Oryzias latipes: one gene and its partner. The protein of the gene in region 1 interacts with the protein of each later gene in a pairwise test. Links are inferred from orthologs where the notes say so. Each region holds a gene or a part of one and is shown on either strand. Other genes may lie near its edges.

Region 1 (4,543 bases):
CATCTGACTATATGGCTGCACATCAAAGATTTAGTCACAGAGCAAATGGGACTAAAGCTTCAGTCACACATAACAGGTTTTTACTCTGCAGGCTCCCAAATACAATCCAGATAATACACAAAACAAACACAAGTTTTCATTGTTTTCACTACTTATTAGTTTAATATGTGTACATACCAGCATGTAGTGCAGGCCTAAACAACAAACCGTGCAGTTAGTTCACCGTGTGGTAATAGAGGTTCAGAACTGGGATGCCCAGGAAAACAAGCTTCAAGAGAGGTAGTAGTCCTGACACCACACTAAGTCAACTGGTTAAAAAAAAAAACATACTTGCTGTAGAGCTCGGTGAAGTCTGCAGATTTAATTCAAGGTGCAAACTATCAGACTTCAGAACTCCATCCTCAGATTCAGTTTCCAAAATGTCAATTTTCTCACTTGCATCTTTTTCACCTGCAAGATAAACTATCTAAATCAACCATACATAGGCTGCATGGTGGTGTAGTGGTTAGCACGCTCACTTCACGGCAAGAAGATCCTGATTCAAAACCCTGCTGGGAAGCTGGGACCCTTCTGTGTGGAGTTGGCATGTTCTCGTCGTGCATGTGTAGGTTTTCTCCAGGCAATCTGGATTCCTCCCACTGCTTAAAAAAATGCTTCATAGGTTTAATGGGGATTCTTAAATGTCTTGTTAGTGGCCATCTGATGACCAGGATAAGTATCAGACATGTACAACACCTTCAGCTGACTGTAGCTGGATAGGCTCCAGCATCTCTGTGACGCTGCAATGGGAATCAGAAGTGGTAAATGGCGTATATAAAGCGCTTATCAGTCACAGTACCATTCACACAGTGATGGTGGCTCTGCTCCCAAACACTGGCATCAGCCTATAACCACCAGGAGCAAATGTAGATTTAATGTCTTGTCCAAGGTCACTTCAGAAATTCAGAAGCCATCTGCTCTACTTCTGCACCACAGCCACCCCAGGAGACGTGGACAATGAACGGATGGAATGAGGAGAGTATGAGTAATTTTCTCTTGCCTACAAAAATCTATAACAGCCATGAATACCTAAATCCGCAGCAGAAACCATTGCAACCAGGATTGCATTGGTAAGCAATGATAAAAAAATTAACATTAAATTCATGCTTCCTTGGGGATGTTTACAAAAAGCAGCTTTCATTGGTTTCCTTTTTCAGTACACTGAAAGGAAAATATTTGAACAATTTAAATAATATTGTCACTCTGTTGGTGAGAGGCAAAAAAAAGGTTTTTAAAATGTTTATGTAGGCATGATTATTTATTATTAAAAGAATACGCCATTACATGTAAAAGTAGGAAGTAATCCTCTAGAATACTACTTGGTAACTAGTTTCTTTTGGAAAAACAATTAAGAGTTTTCTTTATTTGTCTTTCTTTGACATGTATTGTAAAATTATAAACAAACAAATAAAAATCATCAAAAGTAACTTTTTATTTTAATTTACTTGTTTTAACTGGATAAAAAGTCATTCAATATAAAACTTATTTTACTAAAGTAACCTAGAAAACTGCAACAGTGCATCCTAGTTATAAGAAATTAACATACGTTTTATTCAAAAAAATTAAATAAAAACTACTTTACTTTTTTTAAAGAATAAAAACATTTTTAATCGTTTTTAATTTTGGCCAGAGAACATTTTTGAGTTTTTTACATAAAACATTTCCATGGCTGAAAACTTGTTTGCCTAATTTTTCCCTATAGGGGGCGCCAACTCCTTCGACATTTTCTTTGTGTTTTCATCTCTCGCCCATTTCCCGGGAGCTCTTAATTTAACGTTGCCTGTTTTAAATAAACTGTTTCATGATGGCGGAAGACAGTGAATCCGCAGCCAGTCAACAGAGCCTGGAGTTGGACGACCAGGATACTTGCGGGATAGACGGAGACAACGAGGAAGAGAATGAACATATGCAGGGGTGAGGGGTGGCCTGTCCTGTCCGACTGTGAAACGCAATAATGTTTTTTTTCCCCCTGCCAGTTTGTGAGTGGCTAGCACAGTTAGCTTGCTAATGTTAGCAGACGCAAATGTCGTAAAGCTGGTAAAACGTAGAAAATGTATAGCGAATGCTTTTCCTTTGTAGTATGTTGTGCGTTTTGGCGTCCCCCCCTACAGTTGCTGTCCCAACTGAACGGCATGACCGCCATTCATGAGGACGAACCGTTAGTTAGCCCGCACGAAGTAGCTCAGCTGTCATTCGTTGCTATGGAAGTGAACGTTAGCTCCGCGTGCGCGTGAGTCCTGCGAAGTCAGCCTCCGTTCACTGATGCTCTGCGGCTCCATCCTCATTTATATCCACAGCAGTCCGGGAGGAGAGCTGGGGGCCAAGAGGAAGAAAAAGAAGCAAAAGAGGAAGAAAGAGAAGCCGAGTTCCGGGGGAACCAAGTCTGATTCTGCCTCTGACTCCCAGGAGATCAAGGTGTGATGCTGATACAAGAACATTTGCACACATTTCTTATAATATACATAAACAAAACACCTCAAGTGAAACGCGTTTGCGACATTTGAAATGAACTTCCTACTTTATGCTTTCAACTTATACTTTATTATAAGGAAATCCCGTTCTTGACATGTTTTAACATGTAGAACTTTGAATTTTGCTATAAAGACCCAAGTTAAATGAAAATTGTGTTTTATGTTGTTTTGTCCTCTATCATGTTGTTTTTAACATGATGGAGGACATTTATGAAAAGAATTAAGCGTAAAATTGTATTTCCTAGTCTTTCTTTGTTCAAACCGTTTTAAATCATGAGCAGACGAAAGAAAAAGGCTGTTGAAAAGGCAGGCCACAAGCTCAATGCTCTGCTCTATTCTGATGCATCCACTTGTAGACAAATAGATCCATGTGCGTCTTCATTTTCCTCGTCTGAACTGGGATCCTGCTAGGTGACTCCAGAATCGATCACCAATTTTGTTGCACTGGTAAGGTTAGGTTGGGGTTGTTAGGGGCTGTAAGCTGGTGTAAACAAATGGATGATGGGAAGTGTGGTAAACATCTCACGGTGATGAACATAAAACGACAGTTTTTTTTTCAATTTTTGACGAAAAAAGGCCTAATCATGATTAAAAGAGCAGTGGGAACACTTTTAAGAAAGATCAAAAGATGATCGGAGTGGGCTTTAAATATTTGGTGTGCCTTCAAGGATGCAAAAAAATTTTTTTTTTTACTGTAAATACATCATATTGCACAATGTGTGATATAAGAATTTAATTGCACCTTCATGGGCGAGTTTATATTTAAGAGGAAGTTTATTGCAACATCCTTGGTACTGCAGTAAATGTAATACATTTGCAGAGTTATTCAGCAATAATTTGGGAGCTGGTTTAGCTCGTGCTGGTTTGCGGCGCCTTCCGTCCGTGAAACCAGGGTTCGACTCCGGGCTGCTCCCTTTTCCCTTCTCTACCTCTGTGCCGGTTCCAAGCCCAGTTTGAGAAGGTTGCGTCAGGAAGGGCATCCGCCGTAAAACATTGCCAAGTTTACCATGCGACTTGTTCGCTGTGGCGACCCCTGATGGGAGAAGCCAAAAGAGGAAGAAGAAGATTTAGCAATAGTTTGAACTTCTGTCGGGTTTTTTGTAACTATGTTAAACTTTGTGTTTTGCTTATGCTTTCATATATATGTATTTAATGAAGTGCGGGAACTCACTCTTGGGGAAATGGCATCATGCTGTCATTACAACACACTGCAAATCTGTTTCCTTTTTGCTGTTAGAACCCTGGTTTGCCCATTCAGAAGCTGCAGGACATTCAAAGAGCCATGGAACTGCTTTCCTGCCAAGGACCAGCGAAGAGTATCGATGAAGCAGCCAAGCACAAGTACCAGTTTTGGGACACCCAGCCTGTCCCGAAGTTAAGTAAGTACCAAAATAAAAAAGACACATTTAATGTGTTCTGGACATTTTAGACATGTGTACAAAACTAGATCTGTCTCCACTAATGATCAATTTTCCTTAACAGTATGTTTTTCAAACCAGTAACATTTATTCAATTAAATACACATATCTGCTAACAATACACGAACCTTGCTACTTTAAGTTTGAATTAAATTTGATCATTCATAGGAGGATACACACTGTGGATCAACTTAGTTGAACTCTTTAAAGTCCCAGTCAGATCATCTTTTGATTGTTCCCAATGGTCTTTTAATTCTGATTATGCTTAGCCTGCGTCGTTTTCTACAACATAGTGTCTGCAGAACAGAAATTAACCTCTTACAGCGGAGTAAGCCTGCCCCCATTTTCCGTCATCCATCCGTTTACACTCTCTCCAGCTAGTTCACAGGCCCTCACAACCCATACCTAACATTAGTGGTGTAACAAAAATGGTGAGCAATATCAGAGCTATCCAGCCGTACAGTTTTAAGCCAGACACCAGACGAAGAAAAAGAAGACGTGCATGGATCTATTAGTCTACAAGTGAATGGATCAGAATGGAGCAGAGCAAGGAGCTTGTGGCCCGTCTATTGTAGCTTCTTAGTCACAAGTACAAGCTTTTTCAGACGGCACTTT
Region 2 (3,819 bases), on another chromosome or scaffold:
GCTGGATTCAGCAGATTTGGTCTTCATTAAATAATTTGGCTTTTTTATTTTGGACTCTCCTATTCAAAGGATTTTCTAAATGTCTGAAATCAGAAAATTCTTCAGAATTTTCAGGTTTTGTTGTTTTGTAAAAACACAAATCATTCATGGAACTGAAACAAAACCCAAAGAATCGAGGTTAGAACTGATCCGTGGGGAAAGTGAACCGTTGCATCTGAATATTTTAGCTACACAGAACAGTTGGAGGTCGCTGCAAGCCGCATGTTGGGGTTTTTCCATCCCTCCTTTTTCTGTTAGTTCAGTCTTGGGAATGCTGGAGTCTCTCCCAGCAGTTCTTTTGAGAACGGTGGAAACAAACCAGACCCGCCCTGAAGCTGATAAAAATGTGATGTCCTGACTGACCTGCTGCTGTTTCTTCTTCTATGGCTTTCAGGGAGGAGGACAAGAACATCTTTGACTACTGCAGAGAAAACAACATTGACCACATCAACGATGCCATCGGCTCCCAGAAAGTGGATGTCAATGCTAAAGATGAGGAGGTACAGACACGGAGCTCAGCCTGCAAACGTACGGCCGCTGCTCATGTGAGGTGTTTCAGAAACGTTTGATCGTCAGCTGCTGAGTTCACGGTCAAAGCTTGTCTGTGTTCAGCTTTTATTGACAGCTCTCCATCTTGTAGCTCAGCTCGCTGAACAACAGAGGGCAGTGGTGAAGTTTGACTGCAGACGCCAACCTGACCCTAACCCTCCCACTTCTCCTCTTCTTTTCACATTCATTGTTGAACTGAAACACAAACAGAATTGATGGTTTGGTTTGAAAAAACGAAATCTGGAAAAATAAAATATCTGTTTAGCACTTTAAGTTTAATTTTCATTAAACTGTAGTTTTTAGTGAACCAATTTGCATTGTAGATTTAATATGTACATTTAATATCATGTAATACATTTTTTAAGTAATTTTAATTTTAACTATAAATAACGGAAAAATGTTTGAAAATTGTGCAAATTAGTTTGAGACAAAAGTATTTTTATTAGTAAAAAATATTTGGTTTATTTGAAATGTGTATATTATTATCAGTGAACTGTCGTCTCTGATGAAAGTACATTTCTGATTACAATGGAAAACAGTGATATGCTAAAGAGGGGGGGGGGGCAGCTAACTGGTCTGCTGAAAAATAACCAGTCAGCCTTAAAACACCTGAGGGGGGGCATAGCAGAGCGGCCCCCCCAGTGATCCATATGATGTGAGCACAGAACTGGACTTTCACTAATCGGCCTTGCTGAAAAATGAGCTTTGGGGGGGGGGGGGGGGGGGGGGGGGGTTATTAGAAAACCAGGATCCAGACCTGGGGGGGGTGCCAGTGAACGCCTGTGTGATGTTCACTGGCACACTGTGTGTTGGACTTTTCCATTTTTCCCCCCGTTTCACCGATAAGGTGAATCCTAATAAACGACTGCTCCTTCTCCGTACATCAGGTAAAAGAAAAGCAGGAGGCTCTGTGCATTTGTGTTCCTCTGGGGCATTGAGTTTGCAGCGGCTGACCGCTCTGCTGGTGTCCGCAGGGCCGCGCTCTCCTGCACTGGGCCTGTGACCGAGGACACAAGGAGCTGGTGTCGGTTCTGCTGCAGCACAAAGCAGACATCAACCTTCAGGTGAGATGCAGGTCTCTGCTGTTCAGCCTTTTTAGAACCCAGACTAAACATAATAAACATTTGTTTCAATAAAAATTAAACAAACAAACACAATTATTGTTTTAAATGGGACATTTTATGAAGCAAATTTGAGATATTTGTTTAAATGTTTCTTTTGGGAAAATGTATTCATCAGTAGTCAAAAGTCCTTAAATTAGGAAAGTTTTTTCTGGAATTTATAACATGTTTGAAGATTAGGCATAAAGTTTGACAAAGTGGGTCATCAGCTTTGGACTTTTAGAAGCAGGGACAGTCCCACTCCGATCATCTCTGGATCCCAGTGGTGTTTTCCTGATGATTATGTCGTCTCAATGACCAGAAACATCGATCAAACAAACTTTAATCAAAATGTATTGGTAAGCTGAAATCTGTGAATATTGAACCGTGAACACGCGGGGGAACGCTGTATTCATCTGCGAGTGGATAAGTCGGAATGGGGCGGGGCAGCGACCTTGTGGCCCGCCCACAGTACGTTCTGCATCACAGCTACCAGCTTTTTCAATTGTAGTTTTTTTGTCTGCTCCTGATTCACAATGTTTTGAATAAAGATATTTTCAGAAATGCAATTTGAAATTAAATCTTCTTTTTACATGGGTGAGAAAAATGCCACAAAAACCTTTTAAAAACACCAAAAACATGATTTTCATCAGTGTGTCTTTTTAAAGAAACCATTTGTAAAAACAAACCCCAGCTACGATGTAAACTAAGTCTGAATGAGGAGTGGAGTGAAAATACCAGACTCTACATCACTTTTGGAGTTTTATGGTCCTTGAAGCTCTAAAAGTTTTTTAAAGGAAAAAGGTTCAAATATAGCTTTGTTTGACACTTTCTTGTGCTGCCTCTTCACTTTTTTATGCTTTTTATTTTTTTAATTTATGGACTGCTTCTTTTTTTAGTTGGACGTCCATGTGTGGTGCATTACTATGTATACATTTATTTTATGTGACGCACCATGAGGTTTCGTACCACAGGAAAGTGTGTTCTGCATAAAGCTGAATCAGAATGAAGCAGATGTACAGGGACACCATGGGCCAACAGTCTCCTCTCCGCCGTCCTTCTGTCTTTCCATCCTCTCCATCTCTTTTAGAAGGTCACCTTTAATTCACTTTGTGCCCCAAACAAATCCCCCGAGGCTTTAGCAGACACAGTTAGCCAGTAGCTAGCCTTCTGTTTAGGCTCTGAAGGTTTAGCAGCACGCAGGCGGCTTTAGTTTCAGCCGTAAGCCGGTTCAGCTGCACATTGGAGAAATTGCTCCTCTTCCCTGCCCAGCCGCACGCCAAAGTCCATCTCGCCACGCTGCTCGGCGGCGAGGTTTTAACTGGGAGAACAAATCAATTGGAAGTAATCAGGCAAATTGTTTCACATTGCACAACCCGCATAATCAGGACATCTCACAAATGGCTTTCTCTTTTGTGGTCATGTGTGGCATTTTGGTCTTGGATGCCTGCTGGGGGGTGGAGGGGGTAATAGGGAGATGACTACAAAACAATTCCCTGATGATTTACAGCCATATAAAGATAATGACAGCTAAGGGGGACCGATGTCCAGATAGAGGCTGTTTTGCCTGTTTTTCCTCCCATGATGCTGCACATTTGCAGTCATGTATTCCTCATTAAAGTTTGAATTAATGCGCCTAAGTGCTAGGAGTTTTCAGCAGTCACAGCTGGGAGCATAAATCTTTTCACAGGTAGGAATTTGGAAAGGTTGAATCAGACTGTTCTTTATTTCCCATAATGTTTTAAAAGCATCTATCTCTACATTTCGTATTCTTTTTCTTTTGGATCAGACACTTTGACCAAAAAACGTGCAACAAACACTAACAGACGTTTCAAAAAGAGATGTTAGCAGGACCAGTGGGACATTTCCACCATACACTGGTGGTTAGAAGAGACGGTTCAGTCCAGAATAGAACCTCAGCATCACTGTTGGTCGTAAAAGATTCAAGAAACTGATAGTGAGGACTTAGAAAAGTTCTGTTTCAAACCTTGAAAAACACCATGAAAGACCTACACAATCCTATGTTTCTAAGTAGAAAATGCATAAAATGCTTTTCACTGCAGGCAAAACAAAGAGATGAGGAAATTAAAAACGCCATTTCCTGTTGCTGGGAATAAAATGTAATGAGTAT

Evidence for each region.
Region 2: the proteins of nmt2 (region 1) and acbd6 interact in binary tests that used the Homo sapiens proteins (3 or more experiments, as listed by UniProt). The link is inferred for Oryzias latipes from reciprocal best matches to the Homo sapiens genes NMT2 and ACBD6.

The regions. Positions count from the first base shown.
Region 1 is NC_019874.2:17,903,254-17,907,796, forward strand, and holds the start of nmt2 (glycylpeptide N-tetradecanoyltransferase 2), read left to right. Parts: upstream 1-1,736; 5' UTR 1,737-1,840; coding exon 1,841-1,953; intron 1,954-2,336; coding exon 2,337-2,454; intron 2,455-3,747; coding exon 3,748-3,889; intron 3,890-4,543.
Region 2 is NC_019862.2:32,225,380-32,229,198, reverse strand, and holds part of acbd6 (acyl-CoA-binding domain-containing protein 6), read left to right. Parts: intron 1-433; coding exon 434-539; intron 540-1,562; coding exon 1,563-1,652; intron 1,653-3,819. UniProt on the Homo sapiens protein: Binds long-chain acyl-coenzyme A molecules with a strong preference for unsaturated C18:1-CoA, lower affinity for unsaturated C20:4-CoA, and very weak affinity for saturated C16:0-CoA. Does not bind fatty acids. Plays a role in protein N-myristoylation.